2 linked regions of the Drosophila melanogaster genome follow. The main gene of each other region encodes a partner of the protein of the gene in region 2 in a complex. Each region holds a gene or a part of one and is shown on either strand. Other genes may lie near its edges. The genes, in order: rig and Gem4c.

The links.
Region 1: Gem4c (region 2) and rig share a complex: the UniProt entries of both Drosophila melanogaster proteins name them as parts of the core survival motor neuron (SMN) complex.

Annotation. Positions count from the first base shown.
Region 1 is NT_033778.4:20,624,632-20,642,477, forward strand, and holds rig (rigor mortis), read right to left. Parts: upstream 16,051-17,846; 5' UTR 15,951-16,050; coding exon 14,519-15,950; intron 14,461-14,518; coding exon 14,148-14,460; intron 14,091-14,147; coding exon 13,928-14,090; intron 13,866-13,927; coding exon 13,712-13,865; exon of another isoform or gene 13,687-13,711; coding exon of another isoform or gene 12,943-13,686; intron 12,884-12,942; coding exon of another isoform or gene 12,534-12,883; intron 12,478-12,533; coding exon of another isoform or gene 11,841-12,477; exon of another isoform or gene 11,761-11,840; intron 11,442-11,760; coding exon 10,549-11,441; intron 10,492-10,548; coding exon 10,326-10,491; intron 10,267-10,325; coding exon 10,116-10,266; intron 10,058-10,115; coding exon 9,800-10,057; intron 9,738-9,799; coding exon 9,560-9,737; 3' UTR 9,245-9,559; downstream 1-9,244. Other genes in the region: FAM21 (family with sequence similarity 21), read left to right, coding at 1-3,561; Rcd6 (reduction in Cnn dots 6), read right to left, coding at 4,165-5,301, 5,395-5,634, 6,053-6,217; CG13436 (uncharacterized protein), read left to right, coding at 11,841-12,477, 12,534-12,883, 12,943-13,686; maf-S, read left to right, coding at 16,455-16,487, 16,535-16,915; CG11110 (uncharacterized protein), read left to right, coding at 17,206-17,299, 17,365-17,786. UniProt on the Drosophila melanogaster protein: Component of the survival motor neuron (SMN) complex that catalyzes the assembly of small nuclear ribonucleoproteins (snRNPs), the building blocks of the spliceosome, and thereby plays an important role in the splicing of cellular pre-mRNAs.
Region 2 is NC_004354.4:3,941,551-3,948,960, forward strand, and holds Gem4c (gemin 4c), read left to right. Parts: upstream 1-3,492; 5' UTR 3,493-3,705; coding exon 3,706-3,823; intron 3,824-3,876; coding exon 3,877-6,039; intron 6,040-6,098; coding exon 6,099-6,553; 3' UTR 6,554-6,910; downstream 6,911-7,410. Other genes in the region: Gem4b (gemin 4b), read left to right, coding at 1-1,843, 1,903-2,357. UniProt on the Drosophila melanogaster protein: Component of the survival motor neuron (SMN) complex that catalyzes the assembly of small nuclear ribonucleoproteins (snRNPs), the building blocks of the spliceosome, and thereby plays an important role in the splicing of cellular pre-mRNAs.

The sequences.
Region 1 (17,846 bases), on a different chromosome or scaffold from region 2:
TCCACATCGTCATCGCCTACATCTTCACCAGCCTTTAGGAATCCATCAAGTCGCCTTCCAATCGTATCTACTGCATCGCTTAGTTCCAGTAGCAGTAGTCCTGCCCAACAACCTCCTCGACTCTTCGACGAAGCTGTTTCAACCCAAACTCCGAAGGAGGCTGAGATCAAGCCAAGCCAAACAAAGCGCATGCCAGTTAATCTTTTTAACGAAGATGAGTTTAAATCCTTCATGTCCGAAATCGTGGACAAAGTCCAGTCAAAAACACCCAGCAGCTCCGTCTCCCCAGCAACGACAATTTCAACAAAAGAACCACCCAAAACTAAAAAACCCGTGGAAGAATATCCAAAGCCAGGGCCGCCAAAGCAGATTGTTGAGCAGACAGTTCCAAAACGTGTAAACCTCTTCGACGACAGTCCTCCATTGAGTCCAACTCCGAGGTCAGAGCCTGTTTTTAATAATACTAAAGCAACGGGTGCAATACCAAAACGGAGTCCAGTTGTAGTGGCCAATAATGATGAAGATAACTCGCTTTTTGGTAGTTCTCCTGCCATGCCAAAGGAAAATCCTTCCAAAAAGCCACCTAAACCGGTAACCAAATCTCTATTCGATGATGACTTGGAGGACGACGACTTCTTGAGCTCCTTTACGCCCAAAGCAAAGCCACCAGAACAAAAACTGCTCTCAAAACCAAAGCCCTCCTTATTTGATGATGATGATTTGGATATCGATGATATATTTACGAAACCATCTGCTCAACCGAAAAAGCTATCTGAAAGAGTAGCTGGAAAGACAAGTTTGTTTGAAGACGATGATCAAGATGATGTCACTGATTTGTTTGGTTCGAAAAAGGCAAAGGTAATTCCAAAGGAGACGTCTTCGGGAGTTTCGCCCAACAAAAATGTTGAAACACCTGTAGCTTCAAAGAAAAGTCTCTTTGATGATATTGAAGATGAGGATTTGTTTGGAACCCCAAAGGCTAAGAACTTAATTAGAAGTGAACCAGATAATGATCCTGAAGCAGTTGGAGAAGATAAGAAACAAAGTGAGATTGCAGAACAGAAATCCAAGAATATAGAAACTGGAGAAAAGCAGCATCAAGTAATAGCAGAAAATGCATCTGTGCCTATTCTCAGAGATTCACCTCCTCCCATGGAAGTTACGGAACAAAAGTCTGATGATAAAGAATGGGAGGCGGTTAAGGATGATACATCAGCAGCAAATATTACCAAATCTAAAGATTTGTTCAGTGAAGACTTAACCGACGATGAGCTATTCTCTAGTACTTCAAATAATATGGCTGAGCCAAAAAGTGCTAATGAAACTAATGAATTTAACAAACCAATTGAAAAATATACTTCGCAAACTGAGGAAAATGTATCCCCAGTGAATCCTCCTACAAAACTATCTATCAAACCAACTGATTTGTTTAACGAAGATTTTAGCGATGATGATACATTTTTGAGTGCATCTATGTCCAAGAATGAGCCATTAGTTGGTACAGAAAACGAAGATATTAAAAAACCATCTGAGGTGCAGCTGGTGAAAGAGATTAAAGCAGAAGAATTGCCACAGCAACTGCCAGAGAACAAAATATATGAAATAACAGCTGTCGTTGAAAAGGATGAACTGGTGCCCGAAATGTTAAGTAAGCCTCAAATAGATGAACCCGTTTCGGAAACTCCACCACCAGACGATTATCAAAGCAACGTAGATCCCATTATATCAATGGTGGCTGATGTCACCAATAAAACATCAGTGGATACACTTACCCCGCGAAAGCCGGCGGATTTGGCTGCTGCGCAGCAAATCATGCAAAATTACTCGAATCTCTTTTCCGACGAACCGCCGGATGACAGTGAATTCTTTCAAACGCTTGGCAGCAGCGGTCTCAGCAGCCTAAGTGCCTCCAAAATCTTTGACAACGAGCACGACTTCTTCGAACCCGCTCTGCCAAACATTCCCAGTGCGACAAAGCCATCTCCAGTGACGCCGGGGGATCAACCTTCTGTGTCGTCTGACTACGGTGCCATGTGCTTGTTTAGTGATGTGCCACCCGAAGATAACGATCATGCAGGCGAAGAAGTGCAGAAGGAAGCTGAACCTCAGAAGGACGAACTAGCGTCAACCACCCGAATACACACAATCTTCTACGATGATTTCAGTGAGACTGCAAGGGCAGGAGCAGTGCAGCCAGCGCCCAAACGCTTCCCTTTCGATGACGAGCCACCGCCAGCTGATGAAACTGATCGTAGTGAAGTTAAGGAGACGCCTGAATTGCAGAAACCCACTTCGCCCGTTAAGAAGCTGAAAATGCCTAATATTAACATCAATGTACATGCCCTTCTTCCGGGTTCTGGTAGCGTGCCAAAGCTGATCAGGAAACAAGAATCATCGAGTTCCGAGAGAGATGAACCTCAAGCGACAGTTCAGACTGAGGCTGAGGCACCAAGTTCTGGACAAAACACTGTTTCTTCTGCAGACGGTGTCCTGCAGCATGTGAACAAATCTCGCGCTCGTGGACCTGCCAAAAGGCGACCATCTACCAGAAGAGGAAGAAAGGAAAACTATGCCAAAAGCTTATTGGATGCTGGGCAAAATGAAGGCCCAACAGCTTCGACTAGAGATAGCCCAGAAGTTGAACACTCTGAGCGAAGTTCCATTAAGGCACCCTCTCCTCAGTATGTTAAACCTGAAAAGCTGTTTTCAACCCCAGCCCAGCAAATTCAGCCGCAGCTCCAAAGACCGCCGCCATCTAACACTGGTGGCTCATTTCTGGACAGCCCCGATGAGGATGATTCCTTTTTTAATTCCGTCCCGACAAAAACAGTTGAGGGAAAGCAGGGTACTGATCCGCCGAAGTCATATCGCTCGTTTTTGGACAGCCCTGATGCAGATGATAAGCTTTTCAGTGATCTTGAAAATAACAAGGCGGGTATCAATGTAGTTCCAGTAGAAAAGAAGCCGCCAAAGATGGCAAACTCATTTTTGGCCAGCCCAGATGAAGATGATTTCCTATTTGATTCTGTAAAAACAAATGCAACTACTACCGCGCAAAAAGCATTTGCAGCAGAAATCATGAATGCTTTTCAAAAAGTCACAACTGCTCCTCCGAAACCATCGAATGCCAAGGAGGCTGCTAAACCCAAGTCACAGGCTGCGCCGAAACTGTTTGATGATAGCGACGACGATGATGATGATCTGTTTGCCAGAGCTCCTAGTATCCAAACCGCCAGCAAGCCCGTCCAAGCTAAACAGCCCCCCAAACCAGCGGCGACTTCTCTTTTCAGCAGCGATGATGAGGAAGCCGAAGTGCCTGTAAAGAGTGCTCCTGCTAAGAAGTTGCCAGTGAAACCAAGCAAAAGTCTCTTTAGCGACGACGACGACGATGATGACCTGTTCGGAGGAAGCTCCACGTCCAAAGCAGCTGCTGCCAAAAAGACCAAACCCGCGGCCAGGACAGCAAGTAAACCACCTGCCAGTAAAACCACCACGCCCACTGCTACCATTCCATCAAACTCCGGTGATAATCCATTGGCCGATCTTCTTGATTTCAAGTGAGAAAACAGTTACGCCTTTTATTACAAGTATGTACACTTTTTGATCTGTGGATGGTTAGACTGTCGATCAGAGTATTGTTATTCGTATTCCTATTAACTATAATAAACAATGAATGTCAATGTTCATTTGTGTTCGATTCTTAGAACTAGACTTGGGCAATTTTCATACAGTGCCTCTCTTATTGGGGGGGTATGCTTTTTGATATTTGTTTGTTTTAGAAATATCTATTTATATTTTTGAGTACGTCTGATATTTCGTGATATTTACTATTACGATTACTTTTATTTGCATATAAAATTATATCCCCATGGAGTCTCATATTTAGTACACTTTTATTTGCAAATAGGTCGTGTTATTCAGTAAAGCAAATAAAACTGAATGCAGACCCATTTAAGCTACAAATTGACTGGCGCATAAACGCGCTATACGATTCTCGCAGTGTAACGTTAGTCTACGAACTGAAACTGAGTTAGTTTGTGGCTCTTTGGTCGTTATTCCGAGGAATCTCATTCTAGATCGAGCATATCCTACAACTAGTGAGCTTAACCTAAACGCTGACTGATGATCGATTGGGATCCGGTTTCCAGAACCAAAAAAACGGACTCAAAGAGCCACATCGCGGTACTTCCGGTAATCGTCGGACTCGTTGCCCAGCGACAACTTGCTGTTGGCCGTGATGTACGGATTGGTGTAGTTGGCATAGCCAAAGCCCCCGTAATACTGCATCTGCTGGCTGTGCGTGGAGCCGCGTCGCTGCATCGGCTGGGCCAGCACGGTGCCGGCGAATCCGCCAGTGGAGCTGCAATTGGATGGCCTGCGGTAAATGCCGCCAGCCTGCTGGTGGTGCAGCTGTTGCTGCTGCTGCTGGTGAAGCAGCATGGCCAGGTAATACTGCTGCTGCTGCGTGTAGTTCTGGAGTAGATTGTTCCCGTAGGCGGTCAGATCATTCTGCACCTTGCTGATCCCGTCAAGGTTCTCCAGGGATACGCAATTCCGGGACAGTTTACCCGGTGGTGGCTGCTTGTGTGTGCCGCGTGGACGATGGTGGCTCCTCTGCTGTGCCGGTGGCGGTGTCAACTGCTTGGGCTCAATGGAGCAGTAGATGGGATCGTTGCTGGTGGAACCGATCAGCGAAGGCGGCGATGGTCGGTGCGAGTCGTGGAGATTGTTCTTCAAATCGTCGATGGTGATGTTGAAGTACTTGGCGTTTTTATCCTCCGTATCGAGCACATGTCGTGGATTGTACATGCCGGGCAGAGTGCAGCGCAGATCCATCAGCGACTGGGCGCGATGACCACCACCTGCTCCGCCTGTTCCGCCGCGCTGCATCAACGTGGCATTGTTGAACTGCTGTGCCAATGCGGGTGCAAACATGCTGGCGTTGAATTCGTTCTGCGAGCCAAATGCTTGACTGCCTCCACACTGGTTGTTCATGCCCAGTCCCATTCCTGGCCCTAGTGGCAACTTGGAAGCTGTTTCATCGCACAGCTGGTAGCCGGCATTCTCGAATCCACTTAGCCGCTGGCTGGATCGCCGGGAATCTGCCTTTGTAATGGGCACACTGGGCGCTGGAGTCTGCAGGGAAAGTCTGGTGGCCAATCCTTGCAGCTGACTCAACACCTGAGTCTCCCGTCGCCACCTGATGCCCGTGGGAATCACACAGATCAGCGCGAAGCAGTTGATGATGAGGCGAATCAGGTAGGAGGTGAGCTCCGTTAATCCATGCACAGATTGCAGACCCTAATGTTTTAGTCGTATTTAGAATAGTTGTAGTTTTAGCATTTATAAATTAGTTACTTCATTTTACTTCAAGAAGTCATAAATTCAACTTACCCAGTGCTGTGTGGTCATGATCATGACAAAGACCAGCTCTGGAATTGAGAGGAGACCGATGATGCCCGACCAGGCGAACAACGGCCAGCAGAGTCCGCTGACCAGGCCGTGGATAAGGATCGTGGTGGCCACGAACATGACAAAGTAGAGCGAGCAGAGCGTGTAGGCGGCGAAGGGCAGCTCGCCGTGGGCCTCCAGTATCCACGAGACCTCACACGAGAAGGCACCCAGATAGACGATCTGTAGCGAGGCAGCGAGATCGCAAATGGGAAGAAGAAGAAGTGAAATGGAAATTAGCCGAGATTCGCAGAAGAAAAGCGAAAACATAAATCAGTCGATGGCAGCCAGAGATATAGATGCACGAAAAACATAAACATAAAAAGCCGGAGACAACTGTGCTCCGCAACCATCCATCAATCAATTAATGAGCTACCTCGCACCTCTCCTCCCTCCACAGCTGTCAACTTGGACAGCAACAAAAAGAGATGAAATTTTTACATTTGCGCAAAAACGATTTCATTTCATTTTCACTTAATGGAGCAGAAATGTTTTCACGCTGATAACGGTAACGGACAGTCCGACGGACGGACGAAGATATAGTGGGTTGGAGAGATGGTGGCGATATGGAGATATATATCTCACCTAGAGATATACTTACCAGCAATAGAACCGCCACCACGCAGCAGATAATGAATAGATTCGCCTTTATGAAGCGCTCCATAATGCGATCGTTCCAAAAGTTTTGTATGCTATTGCCGTTGCCCGGCGGCCGCTTCTTCAATGAGGACGACGACTGCTTTTCACTGGCCTTCTGATAATTCATTATTCGTGTTATTCGGTTGTTGCGGTTGTGGTGTGAAGCAAATGTGTGAATGCGGTTTTTCAAGAGAAATTATGCTGGCTAGCGGGAGGGTGGCCTTGGTTCCCCTTTTTCAAAGGAGGAGGCCAGTGGTGCGATGCGATACGATGCGATGCGATGTGTTCTAGTTCTTGGTTTATGTTCGAATGGGTTTCGAGTCCAGACCTCTTCTGGGTTGAATGAAAGCGTTAAGTAGCGGCCCAATTGAGCGGTGTCATGCTAGGTTGGTGCTGAAATGAGAATTCCGAGATGAAATGCGATGAGATGCGTCGTCCAGTTCGATACGGTTCGGAACAAAAGACTTAGGCAACGAACTTGTTTCGGCTGCTACACATATGTACGCGCATACAGGCCAAGACATCAGCAAACAAACACTCTCAGCCACTCAGCTAACGGACTGTGCTATATAATTTAGAAGATTTTCACTTTTCGACACTGCGAGTTCGTTGTCCAAGTCTTTTGTTTGCTCGTCGAAGCAAATATTTGACCCTAAACCTTCTGGTTAACTGCTGACTGAAATTGTTTACCTATTGCCAGTTACAAGTCAACTTATGTCATGACAAATGAATTCGCTAGATCGGCATTAGCAAACCTATTAATCAATTACACTGCGCTGCAAAAATTTATTTAGTAAATAAATCTCGTAATAACTTTAAGCAACTAAGCAAGCAAAAGAAAAATGAAAAGTGAAATGTATTAAATGAATCGTGATGCGAAATGTGAGGCAATTAACAAATGGATGGTAATCTAATGATTTATTTCAACTCATTAAGAAAACCGATTCCGTGGGCACTTGTAGTGAAAAAAAACCAGACCAATTATCCCATTGCCTGGCCCACGAAATCGTGTTGTGGAGTGTAAACAATTGAGATGGCTCGCCAACACATCGCCCAGAGATGCGGAGCCCAGTTATCCGCTTATTCGGATACGGTGGTAATCCGCCCATAATAGACATCGTCATCAAAATAGAGGCGACGAACTTGTCGGCTCAATGTCGTCAGCACGCAGGTGCGCCGAGCTCATCGTGCTCATCATGGTCTGCGACTGTGATGATGATGATGATGATGAGGATCATAGTCATCGCGGGCGTATCCATGGGTTTGGCTGCGTGCTCTTCGTCTTGCGGCCCAAAAAAGGAGCGACGCACCGGATATGCGCACCTTAAAGCGTTGGGGTGGCCACTTGCCCCATTGACATTCCGCCGACGTTGCAAGCCAAGACACCAATCACCAGGTTTTTTGTTTTTTCCCGAGCTACTGTGGATGTGACTGTGACTTTCTTCAATGGCCGGAAAGAATTGCAAGCCAAGTTTGTTTTATTGCTAATTAGCTGGACACACTCATTCTTGGCTGGGCTGTCCGGTTTTTCGGGGGCAGAGCTGTAGTTATTTTCAAAACGGGTTTTTCGGCGGCATTCGACCACCATTTATTAGCACTCAGCGCCGGGAAAAGGTGGCAAGCGATTTCGCAGCGCCCTTGACTGAGTGCCACACCCATGCGGCGAGGATTACGAAATTATGCAGATCCAGCATGCATAATTTCGGTGAACCCGGTGGGAGCGTATAAATGCGAGCAACATTTCAAAATATTTTGCATTGTCTGCACGGGCAATTAAATTAATTCCATTTCATTTCGTTATTGTTTACTATGCGAGTTCAATAGCATAAGTGCAACAATGTGAACAACAGTGGATGCGAATGCATGAATGAGCAACAATGCAGCGGTAAAGTTATGCAAATTGTTATTATGAAGTCGCAGCTAAATCGAAATGGAATCGAAATCAAAATGAAAAGGCCAATCCAATGCGTTGCCGCTATGCTGCGCCAGTGCGTTTCAAAATGCAGTCATCTATTATGTGTATATAATATGGATATGGATATGGATATCGATGCGATGTAAAATGTACCTTTCACTTCGCATTATGATTGTTATTGCAAGCGATCCATCCAGCCAGCCATCCATCCCAAGCAGTTACAACAGGCACGAGAAATACCAAAAACTAAATGAACAATAAGCGCGGCTCGTAGAAATTATCAGTCAAGCAAGAAATGTTTTCTCAGCGACGCACTCACACACGCGTTCCACCAAATTGTTTAGCGTTGAGTCACTCAGCGTAGTACAAATTGTTGAAAAGATTCGAAGCTGTCGCTCATGCAAATTGCGTCGCCCGACCGACGACGACTTTAATGGGGCACGTAAAGCCACACACAACAAAAATCAGCGCCACCACCACCAGCAGCACCTAGTGGTTCTTGGCACTTTTACTGCGCGCACAAATTAAATAAAGAGCGGAGAACTCGTTTGCCTGCGTGTTTTTTGTCTCATCGCAAAAGCGAAATGTGCTTGCATGCAATTATAATTTGATTGTTATTTAATTGTACAACGGTTTGGCCACCAGCACCAGGTCAAGTCAGAGTCAGAGTTGACGGACGTGAGAATGGTCGATATATGTGTGTGGATCACTCACTTCGTAACGTGCCGCGCTAACGGTACGCGTACGCTTCAACTTGGCGCGCTTGCAAACGGTTAAAAGTGAAATTCGAAAGACTGAGGAAACGAACTTGGTTCGCCGAACGACTCTGCGACCACTGCGTCGGCTACGGCGGCTGTTTGGCAACTGAAGAGCACAACAGCCCGAAGTTTTGTTTGCCAGCTCTAGCGCTCTAGAGTTTTGCTCTGGCCTGTGTCGTTTTGTTGATTTACATTTTTCTGTTGGTTTCGTTTGTTTTCGCTGCTGCTGCTGTTGTGCAGCAAGTTCAGTCGCCCTGACTCTTGTTCCAACAATTAAAACTTAATTCCCAACTGGCGGCAGTGATGCTGTCGGCGGGCTGGGGAACCCGGTCATTTGCATAATGTGATGCCAAAGCCCAGACGAAAATGGGGCCTAACGGTCATACTTTTGTTTGGGCCAGCTTTTACGCCTGATAACTGATGGTTTCTGGCCGCCGGAACAGCTGCTTGTTCTAATTAAAGCCCACTGGAGCTGCGGTTTCTTTTTCTCGCTTTTTCGTTTATTCGAAATTCAATTTGTGTGTGTTTGTTTTACTAGCTATTGTGCCATTGATATATGTATCTTGTATTCATCTTTTCTTAAGGGTAAATTAAATTAAAATAAAAGTATAGCAAAGGCGACTCAAATCGGTTTCAATTCCACACAGTTTCTGGCTATTCAAATTAATGGAAAACATTTGTAAATGCCTAACTAATAGATAATAGCTTTATGATTGTATCGGGGGATTTCAAATGAGTTACACTAGTACAGCCAGTTTCAGCTAAAAGTACGCTTACAAAAATGTTGATTTAAGGCTTAATGCTCGGCAGTAGATCCATTGTGGATCGGCTCATTGGGAGCACAACCATCTAGAACGCCGCCCAGCTGGCCAATCCGTTTGATTTGGTCCATAAGATCGGCAATTTCCGGAGTGCAGTTGCGGTATTTTCTTAGATAGGAGTATCCACGCAGCATCTCATTGTCCAGAACGCAGCTGTTAAGTGATTCAGAAAGGATGCTTAAACATTTGTCTATAGTTTAGTTTTAGTCACTTACATCAGAGCTGCTGCTGCAAAGTTACCCGTCCCCTCCAGATGCTCGAGCCAATTGTTAATTACGGTCTTGATCAGGGGATCCGTTGCTGGCAAGCAAATACGCGCATGTACAAGGGCCTCCTTATAGTATTCATTGGCCAGGAACAGTTTGATGGCTTCCGATTGCATTCCTTGACTAAAAAGATACGTAGCTGCGTGCATGATGTAGCCTTTTTCCTCCATCTGCTTGGCATAAGCGCGACAGCAGTCCTGCCAAAGTCTGCAAGAAATATAGACTAAAGACAAAACCGATTTACAACAAAAACGTAGAAACTTACGTAAAAGAAACGGAGGGAGCCAGCGAAACATGGCGTTCGGTAAGCGTCTTGTTGGCTATATGCTGCTCCAGCTCCTCGCGTAATTTGAACGTGGACATGGCCAGGCAAAGTGGAGCTATGTCTTTGGTGTTTGAGTGCTTCAGATTGGTCACTGAAATATTACATTTATCGTTAGCATTTTAAATACTATAAGTCAGTTAGTGAAATTACACTCGGTTGCAATGAGCTCCTTGGCCATCACTTTTGAGCTGAACAGCTTCGATATGAGCACCGACTTGTCGATCTTGGCAGAGTCTTCTGTAAGAACAATGGCCAGCTTCTCAAGGGCACTTTTGTTGAGCTCCTTCTGGGTAAGGTAAAGACAGGTGCGGCTATGCTGTTGGTAAATATGTTATTGGGTTTCAGTCGAATCAAGAGCACATGGATAACTTACTGTGAAACTGTCAGGTGACTGCTCTTTACACTTTGGGCATTCTTTGGCACTTCTATTATTTTGCTCCTTGTCCAAGCTAAGCGCTTCCAACATCTCTTCAACAGGAGTTTCTTGCGTACATTTATCGTTGGTTGGATTATCAATAACTGCAGTAACTGACTCCTGAATTTTCTTTTGATCCTTGTTAGCTACGTCAACTTCGAGCTTAGCCGCTGCTTTGCGTTGATCCCGGCGCTGCCGTTTCTTTTCAGCCGCTGTGAGAACTGGAGCGTATGGCTGGGTCAGGGATTTGCTAGCCCACTTAACATTTAACAGAGCATCCACCTTGGGACAGATGCTTTTCTCATCGCCTTCCAGCGCGTCCTTAATGTCAATTAGCTCCACGGAGAGAGCTTTTCCCGAGCACATAATGATGTTCTCGTTGGTGGGCAAAAACATTCCACACCACATGGGGCAGTGGTAGGTGATGGTTAGCGGTGGCTTCTCTGGCGCATTGCAGTTCCACAGGCACACCTTTCCCTCGATATGAAAGGTGAGCAGCAAGTGCTTCTGGGTATGACTCCATCTCATCGAGGTAATCGACGCCTTCTCTGTGTTTGCCGTAAATGTGTGAAGCGTTTTCCAATTGCGCTCCGTGGGCTGAAACTCCATCACGTACACGGACCTATCGTTGCCCGACACTGCAAACTTATTGCTGTCCAGCGGGCACCAGGCGATATCGGTCACATAACGAGCAAACAAAGCGGATTGGCGGATAAATGGAGACCACGACTTCTCCATTCCCGAATCGCGCTCATGGATCTGCAGCAGTCCATCATCGGTGCCAACAAAAAGGAAAGAATCGCGGATGCTGAGGTAACTGGGTCGAGAAATGCAGTTCACAATTGTGGGCTCTGTAAGAAAATAATAATGGCATATTTTAAATTAACTTTATATGTATCTTTGACTAGCTTTACCTTTAAGTAATACATACATCCATTAACTTAAAACACAATTAAATCTAGTCAGAATGACGAAAAACTCTTTGTTTTAAGTCCATTGTTGTCTTTTAGGTCCGCACCTAATTGTGCGATCATTTTAATGATTTGTGGGAAACAATTAATTAAAACAAGCCTAAAAGTCTCGAATAACAAAAGCTCGATGGCATGAGTAATTTGTGCTACTTGAAGAAAATGAAATCGATTAAACTGTAGCCAAGGGCAACAAATATCACACGTATCAAAAACTTAGCAAGCAAACCACATTACACATTTCCTTTCATCGAAATAGGTTAAATTGTTCTGTTTACCAAAATGCCGCGACACAAAACTCTAGTGAGCATTGGTCATCGTATTATGAAGCGCTTCAAACAGTTGGATCTCAGGGTCGACAAGGAGTTTGTCATCTACATGGTTCATTTGCTGGCAAGAGATCGGCGCAAAGGTCTCCTGAAGTACGACCTCAATAAGCCAACCGCCTGTGCCATTGAGGGTTTCGTGAATACAATTGTGGATAGCTATGTCAATTCGAAAGATTGCACTATGGCCAACATGAAGATGGCTTGGGTAATGAAAAAGGGAGTAACCATAGACCTTGAATACGTCAAGAAGAAGTACGAGGAAAAGTTCCAAACCGAACTGCAGCTGCTAATCAAGGATATCCTTCAGTATCCCGAGACTTGCAGTAAAGTGCAGTTGGACCAGCTCTTCGCAAAGATGCAGGTCTTCATAGTGGCCTGCTACAGTCTGGGCTCGCCCAAGAATCATGTTCTGCTTAAGCTGACTGCCCAGGCTCTCAACAGCGTCATCGGTCGAAGTGACCTACAGAATTATGTCCTGAAGAAGAAGTACCATCGGCTAGAGTATCTTCAACGCTTGTCGGCGACCGTGGGCGGCATTGTGATCTATAACAACGATGGCCCCGATGGAGATCGGGAGAATGTTAGAAGCGGTATGTGCATATAGGGCAAACCATTTCATATTTCATATCTGCTGTATACTTCTTAGTGGTCGATGATCTGGAAATGGCCCAGAAGAACACGGAAGCCGCATTTGCAGCCAGTATGGGAAGGGCGGTCAAGATGCAGTCCACTTGCCAGGCGGCACTGGATGACCTCATAAACATAGATCATAAGGACGAGACCTTGACCTACCGCGTGCCCCTCGAACATTTGGATCGGCTTAACCAGTTTGCGGCGACCTACTTTATGCTCCATCGCTGTCTGACGACTCTGAACGAACATTACCAGAAGACAGTGTACCTAATTGAAGTGGAGCATAAGCGATATCAATGCGTGATCTGCAAGATTGATGATACCCTATCCATGCGCACGGCTATTGATTCGGAGCTTATATTTGTAAGTGATGTATTCATTTAAAAGATGAGAATTTCTCCAATTTCGTTTCCCGCTTTCAGCCGCACTTTGTGTACCTCTCTCAGGTGTGGGGCAATCTGAACAACTACCTGAACCACATTGTTGAGTTAAACAAGCTGAGGGAGCAGGTGGAGGCATTGGTCGTCGACGACTTGATGACCCTGACAAAGGCTACGATTGCCGAGCTGCAGGCGCTTCATAAGCGGATAAAGAAGCCCAAGGTCTGCAGCTTTGAGGAACGCATGGATGCCGTGAAGGAGTTGCAGACCGATGGCAACTTTTGCAAGCTCAACAAGGCAGATATAAAGGAGTTTTGCTCTCTAGCCATGACCATTACCAACGGCCTGCTTATGCCGGCCCAGGTGACCAGAAAGCTGTGCTCCAATGTGGACATTACATTTGGTTTCCGGGACCCAAGATACGCTCGATTCGCGGAGCTGCGATTTGAGCCTTTCATAGCCGCCTTTAGAAAAGTGGTTTTCAACAATGCGAACCTGGCTCTGCTGTTCAAATTGGACGATGCGCTAATAGAGCAGGAACTGCAGAATCTGGTAGTTGAGCCACCAAAGCAGACAGATTTTGAGTGTCAAACCGAAATGGTCGTCACCAACGACCTAACGCCAGCAAACTGGATAAACGTAACATGGAATGCGTGGGATTATCATCGGGAGACAATCCACTTGGCCAATATACGTAAGAAGCAGACCAACGACGCGCAGACCAACATTAGTTACGGAAGGCGCAACGCACAGAATCAAACCTACAACTGTCGGCAACATAAGTAGAGAACGGCTAAGAACATATACTCACCGATTTTCGATTTTCTTAAATCAAAGAAACCTAGAACACGATTCACAATAAAGTATATAAAGTGGTCCTGCCACACAAGCGAGTAGACTTCTTTTTTGTGCGGCGTCCGTAAGTGTGTCTTTACTTTCATGCGCTCCACATCCAGGATGCCCACCTGTTGTTGAGTTGTATATTTAGGTTCAATATCCAATAAAATAGACGAAATCAAAGCCATACCGTTCCGTCGAAGGTGCCAAAGGCCAGTTCCAAGCAGTTTGGACTCCAAGCCAGGCAGTAGACGTTGCTGGACACATAAACGCTGTCGATGGGCAGGCAGCTGGTGGTGAGCTTCGATATATCGAAGAAGGCCACACGGCGATCCGAACAACCCAAAGCGATTCTAAACGAAAAACAGTTTAGCAACGTTTGCGAATGGCATATTATCTTATTAGCTTACTTGTTCATATCATCTGGACACTCGGCCATCGCTCGCACTCCAAACGCCACTGTTCCGTAAAAGTCAGCCATCCGGCCAGTTTTAGGATTCATCATTCCAATCTGGCGATTGTTTCTGCACAACCATATCATCTCTTTGCTGGAGTCACAGGCAAAGGACACGATGTCTTGCAAATGGCAGCTGTGTGATTTATCCTTGCTGATCTTGTAGCGTAGCATCTTGCGCTCGAACTCCACGGACCAAAAGAATAACTGATGGCGACTCAGGGAAACAATGACATGGTTGTTCAGCCAGTAGACGTTGTTAAGCTTGCCTGAAGAAAAGATCCCAGTTGAATGCTTGCTTTCAATGGTTTGATTCTTTCCACTTACCCGCCGTCTTGCTTTTGCTGTAGTTCTTGCCAGCATGCGCTCCCGTATTGGTATTCCAGATCATCATCACCTCATCGCCGTCAATGGACACGAGCAGAGTTTCCAAGTGGGTGCTGTTCACGGATGTCAAGCTGATGGTCTCCGCGCTGATGGCCGGCACAACTTGGAGATTACTCTGAGGCTCAGACTTGGTCTGCGGTGTTCCTGAAGCATGTACCTCGGCCTGGTGGTAGATGTGATGCAATACTTCTCTTTTGGGCTTTGCTGCCTCGCCATCGACGATCACGGCATCATCACTGGACGAGCTGTACTGGATGACCTCCAGACTGCCCTCGGTCGAGTCGCTGGCATCGTTCTTGTTGCTAATGGTGCTGGCATCACTTAAGGGACCCGTAGGCTTTGTGGGCTCGCAGTCATGCAGCGTGACCTCCACGTGCTGCGTTTTATCCTCCTGGCGACTGGCTAAGAGTTCGGCTTTCACACTCTCGCAGGCCTCAACGAAATCTAAGACAGCGGCACCAGCTGGCTTCTCTAGACCCACAAATTCGCCGCCACAATCCTCTGAAGATTTGCGGCGGCGTTCAGCTATAGGTGCACCGAACTCGTACTCAAGATGATCAAAGTTGTATATGTCGAAAGGGTCGTCGGATTCGGCTGCCTTCGATTTGGTCAGTGGTGGTGGCTTTGTCTTGGGTTTCTCCTCCTGGCCGCCATTGCGGCTTCGCCACTCTTCAGCACTTAACGCCAGATTATTGGTTTTTTCGTCCTCGGCAGCAGGCACCTCCCGCCAGGCTAAGCCGCATATGGGCGCTTTGTGGCCGTGGAACTTGTAGACGATGTTCATTTTGCGCAGATCGCAGACCAGCACATTACCCATAGCCGTTCCCACAGCGAACAAATTGTCATTGTAGGGCGAGCAGCGCACCATAGTGAGTTGGTGATTTCGGGGCGAGATGAAAGTGGAGCGACGGCAGTAGGTGTTGGATGCCACACAATAGATGACCAGATCACTGGCGTCCATGGATAGAATGTTACCATTGGCCAGGTAGCTCATCAGCACGGAGTTGGTAGTGTGGTGCACGACGCGCACATCCCGCGCCTCGTGCTGGTGCTGATGGGCCTTGTGCCCGATGACGGCTTCGCCCAATGCGCAGTCCCACACCTGAACGCTTAGATCGTCGCCCACAATGGCGAATGGCTTGGTCGGCCCACCGTTGCCCAAGCCCCACATGGGACTAACGTCCAGGGCCAGTATGTTGATCCGCGTCGACATGGTCACCACTTGGGGCTGCTCTCCGTTTGCCGGCGGCGCGGATATGTAGTTGATGCAGCGAATGCCGGCGTACAGCAAACCGCCGTCGGGAGCAGCGGCCGCCAAAGATACGTTGCCCGGCGGTGTGGGCACATTGTGGTACATCACCTGCGAGTTCATGGCGAACAATAAGGACTTGGCATCTGCAGGATGAAGGAATATTTCCCGCTAACAGTTGGCGTCGTTCGGGGAAAAAACTTCTGTAAAGCTGTTAGTGTTAGGCAGCTTCTTAAACTTTGCCAGCGATGCCACCTGGAAGGCACGGAACTTAACAGTTAATTAAAATTGATAATAATTAAAATATAAATTTGTTATTTTCGAACTTGTATTTATAACAAAAATCTGGATCTGCTTTATATAAATAATTTAAAAATATAACTAAGTACCTTATGCTACAAAGCCTAAAATCTAGGGATCACGTTAGCTTTAGTATATTTAAATTACCCGCTATTTACCACAGACGTTTTTTGTCTATCTGCCAACTCTATGCAATCCATTTCCTGTGAATGGCAACCAGCAGGTAGAGAGGAAGAAGAAGACACACAATAACAACGCAAAAAAAAAAGGTAGAAAAATCTAGCAAATTCTAAAAGTCTCCGTAAAAATAAAATACAATCGGCCACAATGGAAGCAAAGCGCGAGAGAAAGTCATCCCTGGTACGTACCTTGTAGATATATGCGAAGAAGAAAGAAAACCCTGATAGAAGTGCGATTTTCAGGCACCACTTTCGCCATGTCCAATTCCGGATATTACCGATGACGATTTGGTGAGCATTTCGGTAAGGGATCTTAATCGGACCCTCAAGATGCGTGGCCTGAACCGCGAGGAGATCGTTCGGATGAAGCAGCGCCGGAGAACCTTAAAGAATCGCGGATACGCAGCCAGTTGCCGCATCAAGAGAATCGAACAGAAGGACGAGCTGGAGACTAAGAAGTCGTACGAGTGGACGGAACTGGAGCAGATGCACGAGGACAACGAGCAGGTGCGCCGCGAGGTGTCCAACTGGAAGAACAAGTACAAGGCGCTGCTGCAGTTCGCCATCCAGAACGAGATACCCATTCCCAGCGAGCTGGAGGGCTGCTGAACGATTGCCCAGTCACATTCCTGTTTCTGTCAAAATTACAATAAACCCAAAACGGAAAAAAACACCTGTAACTAAAGTACAATAGCTGGCAAATATCCTTCCTCAATAAACGTAATCTGCTCAAGAACCTCTGCATCGCCTTTATTGAAGCACCCTGTATTTAGCATAAACAAAACCCGTGTCGGCGCTGCGCTGCGAATGTCATAAGATCCGGAGCGCACAAGGAACTCGGCAAAAGGCTGGTGGTTATGTATTCATCTCGATAGCTCCGCTCTCCAACCAGTTCATCCATGGCATTTCGGTTCTTTGGCAAGTCCTTGCTGTACGCTCTGCCACTTGGCGTCACTTTCCTGGACTGCGTTGGTTATGTGGCCAGGGTGGATGGTGAGTCGTCCGGAGTTTATTCGCTCCATGTTAGTGTGCGCTAATTAATCCACAACTTTTTGCAGGCATCTCCATGCAGCCCGCTCTCAATCCCGTGCCGGATGAAAAGGACTATGTGTTCCTGCTGCGCTGGGGCACCCACAACAGTCAGGTGGAGCGCGGCGACATAATATCGCTCATTTCACCCAAGGATCCCGCCCAGAAGATTATCAAGCGCGTGGTGGGGCTGCAGGGCGACGTCGTGTCCACGCTGGGCTACAAGCACGAGATCGTTCGCGTACCCGAAGGACATTGTTGGGTGGAGGGCGATCACACAGGCCACTCCATGGACAGCAATACCTTTGGACCCGTCGCCCTGGGCCTGATGTCCGCGCGGGCAGTGGCCATCGTGTGGCCACCGGAACGCTGGCGAATACTGGAGAACGAACTGCCGCGGCGACGGAGACCCATACAGGCCTCCAAGAACTCCAGCAACTACTACAACTAGACTGACCAACTGGCGGAGAGCCTGCGCCCAAGATAGTTCCAATTGTGTACATACTGAACC
Region 2 (7,410 bases):
TTTGAGGCATTCAATGAGGCTCTGTCGGTCATTAATTCAGATTGCGTGGAAACACTACCGCTGCTCTCTGCCGCCCTCAGAGCAGCCGGTCGCGCAATTGTCAACTGCAATTTGCCCGCAGAAAATAAGCAACTGCTGCGCCAGATAGCCTGCATGGAACATCGTCATATCTTGGACTCTAAACAGCGCCTCCATACGCTGCCGCGTCCATCCACTCGAAAGATTTACCTGGCCAAGGCTATGGATCACCTTATAGAAGTCCTTTTGTATACCCTCAATGATCCATTAAAGCGGGAGAAACCAAATTGCTTCGCCGTCTACAGCCAAATAACCGAGGACATCAGTGACAGCAACTCAAGCGATCCCATGCCTGATCTGCGGCATTTCGCCCAAATACTGCTAGACGTTCTGCAGCGTATCTTTCAGCTCGTTAGCGTAGACACGTATATGTATTGGCATGAAATGAAATCGAAAAGTGCTTTGTATAACTGCCAGGAGCTAATCTGTAGACAGACGGCAGAATTGCTTAAAGTACTCCAATCAGATAAGTTGCTCGGAGAGCATCCGGTTTGCAAGCAGATGCAGAGCTTTGCGGATGCAGCAAAAACATTGGAGCAGCGCGTTGCCGAGATGAGAATGGGTGAACTCTTAGTCTTTCTCGATTCCGGTATGGCCACCGATGAGGAGTTGCTCGCCGGGCTGGACAATCTCTTTAGCCGCTTCATAGCCTTTGGTAACGATGAGTGCGTGGAAACGATGGCAAATCATTTAATTATGCTCACCAAGAAACATGCCCAGATAATACTCAGTTTCCTGGGTCAGGTGGTGGAGTCCGAAATGGTGGTCGAGGACGAGGGCATATCCGTTACGGAAGTAAATCAGGGGGATGACGAGGACGAGACCTCGTCCAACGATGATTACGAAGAGCTGCTAAGCCTAGTACTGCGTCCCTTATTTATGCAATTAAATGTCGAGGACAAGATGGAAGTACTGCTATTGCGCGATGAGCAAAACGTTACCCAAGGATTTAATTTCAAGGCTCCCGATCATCGGGAGCGTCGCATACGCTTCTTTAATCAATTGGATTATAATAAGCGCTTCCCGATAACCAAATTTCTAGTACTGTGCTTTGAGAACGCAAGACAGACCTGGATTGATTTCTCCCACTTGGGCGTGACGCATACTCGCTTCTCGAAGCTATTCTGGCACATAGCTCAGTCTTGTCCCAAGCATGCTGCTTTTCATATTTCCGCCTGTGCCGATAACATCTTGGTGAACGAGCAACTACTTCAAAAGCCGTATGCCTTGCAGTTTACACTCTACCTATATGGCCACCGACAGATCCTCAACGGTCTCTACACGTCAGCGCGACAACTGTGCGTTAGTTTGAAAGACGGACGGTGTCCCTACGGAGAGGATGAGCTTAGGCAGGCGCAAAATAGGTTCCTAGACGCGTGTGCCTACGGTTTGGCCAAGTTTATAGAGCCCATGAACTTGCCCAGCTTGCAGTTAATCTTGAAACTGCTCAAGCAGATTAGTCTGGGTGAAAGCAATCTAATCACCCGAGGCACTGCAGAGTTAAATGCACTCGAAAAGGAGCACCCGAAATTGGAGAACGGAGACGATGCACCAGCTGTCAAGGTGGCCAAGCACTACACATATCTGAATGCCAGCTTGCCAGAGTGGCGTTTGAAACACTGGAAGCTGATCTCGCATGTCATGAAAACCATTGATGCCCTACGCTGGGACTTGGCCACCTTTGAAGATTTCCGGGTGGATAATTTAGAACTGGCGGTGTGGTATTGGCAGGACGGTCTGTCTCATCTGACATTCCTAGGCACTGGTGCGCTCTTATAAATGTAAGTCCAAGACGAAAGCCTACTAATTATTGCTCTTTCACAGAATGCCGCCAGAGGATCTTGAACCAAGTGAACAGTTTAAAGCACAAGGGCTTTTGGCTCATCTACCTTAAAGAAGACACCTTAAAGGACACACGCTCCTTTCTCAAATTGCTAACTCAGTCCAGTGCACAGGAGGCTAACGATCTCTTCAACAAGCTCCTTAAAAAAAGGGCCGATTGTGCTGTTATGGGCGATCTTAGCGATGCAGTGGTCAAGGTGAACAGCGAGTCCGCTTTCATGGCCTTTAGATTCCTATTTCGAGAATATTTGATCGCCTTCCGGAGCCACGCCAAACACAATAAGACCATCACGAAGCGCCAGCATTGGGATCATTTGATGGCCGTTGTGGCCAAGGCTCCATTCTCCATTCGCAACGAGATTATGAAGCTAGCTAGTAAAGCCTTCGCTGTGCGATTCGGCATAAATATCCAGGAACAGCAGGCGGCCAAGTGTTAAGGAGATGCTGTTAGAAGTGTAATTTTCTTAAGCCAAATCGAAATTCCGCCGCTTGTCCAACACTTTAATTCTTAGGCAGTCAGATCTCTATATGACTAAAAACATATATAATATTCATAACGCTAGGATTGAACATCAGAATAATTTGATATCAGATTATTTTACAACTTTGTATGTCCTTTAAAAGGGCGACTGTATGCACATAACAAATGTACCACTACCATGCAAATTTTTTGTCTTACTAAAAATACTTTGGCAAGCAAGTGAAGTTATTCAGCTGAAAATTAATAAAATTTTGCATGTTCTTTTTTTTTCGTATTATTATGTATTATATATATAATATACAAAACGCTATGATTGAACATCAGAATAATTTGATATCAGGTTATTTTACAACTTTGTGTGTCCTTAAGGCCGACTATATTTACATAAAATATGTAATACTACCATCAAATACAAATTTGTGTTCTATTAAATAAATGCTTTGGCAAGCTTAAAATTATTGTAATTTTGCATGTTCTTATTTTTATTCGTATTTTTATGTATTACTTCGACTGCTTTGCTTCCTGTTGCAAAATTGTAACTTAAAACTAGGAAAATTTATTTTAATACATTTTTAAATTTCATGTACTCGTTATGTTATAAATTTAACTAATTTATATTCTGTCAAAAGCTGAATGGCATTATTCAGGGAAAGGAAAATTTTGGTGCAAATTGTTATTAATAACATTTTCAAATTACCTAAATAAAAAAAAAAATAGAAAAAATATCTTGTCTTAAAAAACACTATATATATTTTACAAGGTAATTTAACGACCAATGCTTGACAAGTATCGAAAAGATTTCAAACTCAAATGCCGCATGCGAATCGCATTATTTTAAATACATTTGCTAAATAGGACCACTGTTTAAAAAACTGCAGTTGACTTTGGAGAAGTCGCAATATTTATAATGTCAATTATTAATTATCGAATAAAACATTACAATAATAATACAAATAATTAATTATCGAATAATACATTACAATACTTTATAAAATATCTTCATTTAATTTTCAGCTGAGCAAAATACAAAATATCATATGAAAATGTTTATAAATAAAGTTAAAGTTAAATCATAGCAAGCAGTGGACAAGTCATATTAGTATCTATCTACATCAGAGAGTCTATTACAAAGCGAAATTTTTTGTTGTAGGGACATTTTCATTTTCAAAAAATATTCCTTGCACGCAAGATAATCGGTACGCACCGGTAAACTATCGATTTTCGATAGTCATCTGACAGAAGACGCACATAAAATTGAATTCCTTCGGAAGAGTTTTGACGAAACGCGAAATTTCGGCAGCACGATGATAACTGCTGAGAAGCACCCGCTGGACAATTGCCAGTTGTTTGTCCAGCTGAAGAAAATATTCCATGACAACAACGAACAGGCCAAGTGTCTGAAAGATATGATTTACTGGAGTGGTAAGTGAAGTACCAGAGGTTAGTGCCCAAATATGAACATTGTTTGTTCTCAGGAAACGATGAGCACATTGAGAAGATCTGCGACCAAGTGACGGACCTGCTGGAGGAGCACGATCTAATCATACAGCCGCCAGACACAATGGATCCTTTTGCTATGAATCAACTGCGTGGACTACTGGTGTACCTGGTGCTGAACACCGCACACGACTATTTCTTGTGCAAATCGCAGTGGAGCGCCAATGTCATGCATTTGTGTAACCAGCTTCCGCCTATCCCACTGTTCTTGACCATCGCAATAGCCGTTAACTGCTGTCTCATGGAGCCGCTGGAGGAATTCCTTGCTTGTGGACCCCGCTGGCTGACCATCCAGTATTTTGAGGCATTCAATGAGGCTCTGTCGGTCATTAATTCAGATTGCGTGGAAACACTACCGCTGCTCTCTGCCGCCCTCAGAGCAGCCGGTCGCGCAATTGTCAACTGCAATTTGCCCGCAGAAAATAAGCAACTGCTGCGCCAGATAGCCTGCATGGAACATCGTCATATCTTGGACTCTAAACAGCGCCTCCATACGCTGCCGCGTCCATCCACTCGAAAGATTTACCTGGCCAAGGCTATGGATCACCTTATAGAAGTCCTTTTGTATACCCTCAATGATCCATTAAAGCGGGAGAAACCAAATTGCTTCGCCGTCTACAGCCAAATAACCGAGGACATCAGTGACAGCAACTCAAGCGATCCCATGCCTGATCTGCGGCATTTCGCCCAAATACTGCTAGACGTTCTGCGGCGTATCTTTCAGCTCGTTAGCGTAGACACGTATATGTATTGGCATGAAATGAAATCGAAAAGTGCTTTGTATAACTGCCAGGAGCTAATCTGTAGACAGACGGCAGAATTGCTTAAAGTACTCCAATCAGATAATATGCTCGGAGAGCATCCGGTTTGCAAGCAGATGCAGAGCTTTGCGGATGCAGCAAAAACATTGGAGCAGCGCGTTGCCGAGATGAGAATGGGTGAACTCTTAGTCTTTCTCGATTCCGGTATGGCCACCGATGAGGAGTTGCTCGCCGGGCTGGACAATCTCTTTAGCCGCTTCATAGCCTTTGGTAACGATGAGTGCGTGGAAACGATGGCAAATCATTTAATTATGCTCACCAAGAAACATGCCCAGATAATACTCAGTTTCCTGGGTCAGGTGGTGGAGTCCGAAATGGTGGTCGAGGACGAGGGCATATCCGTTACGGAAGTAAATCAGGGGGATGACGAGGACGAGACCTCGTCCAACGATGATTACGAAGAGCTGCTAAGCCTAGTACTGCGTCCCTTATTTATGCAATTAAATGTCGAGGACAAGATGGAAGTACTGCTATTGCGCGATGAGCAAAACGTTACCCAAGGATTTAATTTCAAGGCTCCCGATCATCGGGAGCGTCGCATACGCTTCTTTAATCAATTGGATTATAATAAGCGCTTCCCGATAACCAAATTTCTAGTACTGTGCTTTGAGAACGCAAGACAGACCTGGATTGATTTCTCCCACTTGGGCGTGACGCATACTCGCTTCTCGAAGCTATTCTGGCACATAGCTCAGTCTTGTCCCAAGCATGCTGCTTTTCATATTTCCGCCTGTGCCGATAACATCTTGGTGAACGAGCAACTACTTCAAAAGCCGTATGCCTTGCAGTTTACACTCTACCTATATGGCCACCGACAGATCCTCAACGGTCTCTACACGTCAGCGCGACAACTGTGCGTTAGTTTGAAAGACGGACGGTGTCCCTACGGAGAGGATGAGCTTAGGCAGGCGCAAAATAGGTTCCTAGACGCGTGTGCCTACGGTTTGGCCAAGTTTATAGAGCCCATGAACTTGCCCAGCTTGCAGTTAATCTTGAAACTGCTCAAGCAGATTAGTCTGGGTGAAAGCAATCTAATCACCCGAGGCACTGCAGAGTTAAATGCACTCGAAAAGGAGCACCCGAAATTGGAGAACGGAGACGATGCACCAGCTGTCAAGGTGGCCAAGCACTACACATATCTGAATGCCAGCTTGCCAGAGTGGCGTTTGAAACACTGGAAGCTGATCTCGCATGTCATGAAAACCATTGATGCCCTACGCTGGGACTTGGCCACCTTTGAAGATTTCCGGGTGGATAATTTAGAACTGGCGGTGTGGTATTGGCAGGACGGTCTGTCTCATCTGACATTCCTAGGCACTGGTGCGCTCTTATAAATGTAAGTCCAAGACGAAAGCCTACTAATTATTGCTCTTTCACAGAATGCCGCCAGAGGATCTTGAACCAAGTGAACAGTTTAAAGCACAAGGGCTTTTGGCTCATCTACCTTAAAGAAGACACCTTAAAGGACACACGCTCCTTTCTCAAATTGCTAACTCAGTCCAGTGCACAGGAGGCTAACGATCTCTTCAAAAAGCTCCTTAAAAAAAGGGCCGATTGTGCTGTTATGGGCGATCTTAGCGATGCAGTGGTCAAGGTGAACAGCGAGTCCGCTTTCATGGCCTTTAGATTCCTATTTCGAGAATATTTGATCGCCTTCCGGAGCCACGCCAAACACAATAAGACCATCACGAAGCGCCAGCATTGGGATCATTTGATGGCCGTTGTGGCCAAGGCTCCATTCTCCATTCGCAACGAGATTATGAAGCTAGCTAGTAAAGCCTTCGCTGTGCGATTCGGCATAAATATCCAGGAACAGCAGGCGGCCAAGTGTTAAGGAGATGCTGTTAGAAGTGTAATTTTCTTAAGCCAAATCGAAACTCCGCCGCTTGTCCAACACTTTAATTCTTAGGCAGTCAGATCTCTATATGACTAAAAACATATATAATATTCATAACGCTAGGATTGAACATCAGAATAATTTGATATCAGATTATTTTACAACTTTGTATGTCCTTTAAAAGGACGACTGTATGCACATAACAAATGTACCACTACCATGCAAATTTTTTGTCTTACTAAAAATACTTTGGCAAGCAAGTGAAGTTATTCAGCTGAAAATTAATAAAATTTTGCATGTTCTTTTTTTTCGTATTATTATGTATTATATATATAATATACAAAACGCTATGATTGAACATCAGAATAATTTGATATCAGGTTATTTTACAACTTTGTGTGTCCTTAAGGCCGACTATATTTACATAAAATATGTAATACTACCATCAAATACAAATTTGTGTTCTATTAAATAAATGCTTTGGCAAGCTTAAAATTATTGTAATTTTGCATGTTCTTATTTTTATTCGTATTTTTATGTATTACTTCGACTGCTTTGCTTCCTGTTGCAAAATTGTAACTTAAAACTAGGAAAATTTATTTTAATACATTTTTAAATTTCATGTACTCGTTATGTTATAAATTTAACTAATTTATATTCTGTCAAAAGCTGAATGGCATTATTCAGGGAAAGGAAAATTTTGGTGCAAATTGTTATTAATAACATTTTCAAATTACCTAAATAAAAAAAAATAGAAAAAATATCTTGTCTTAAAAAACACTATATATATTTTACAAGGTAATTTAACGACCAATGCTTGACAAGTATCGAAAAGTCGCTAAACTAAAAATATC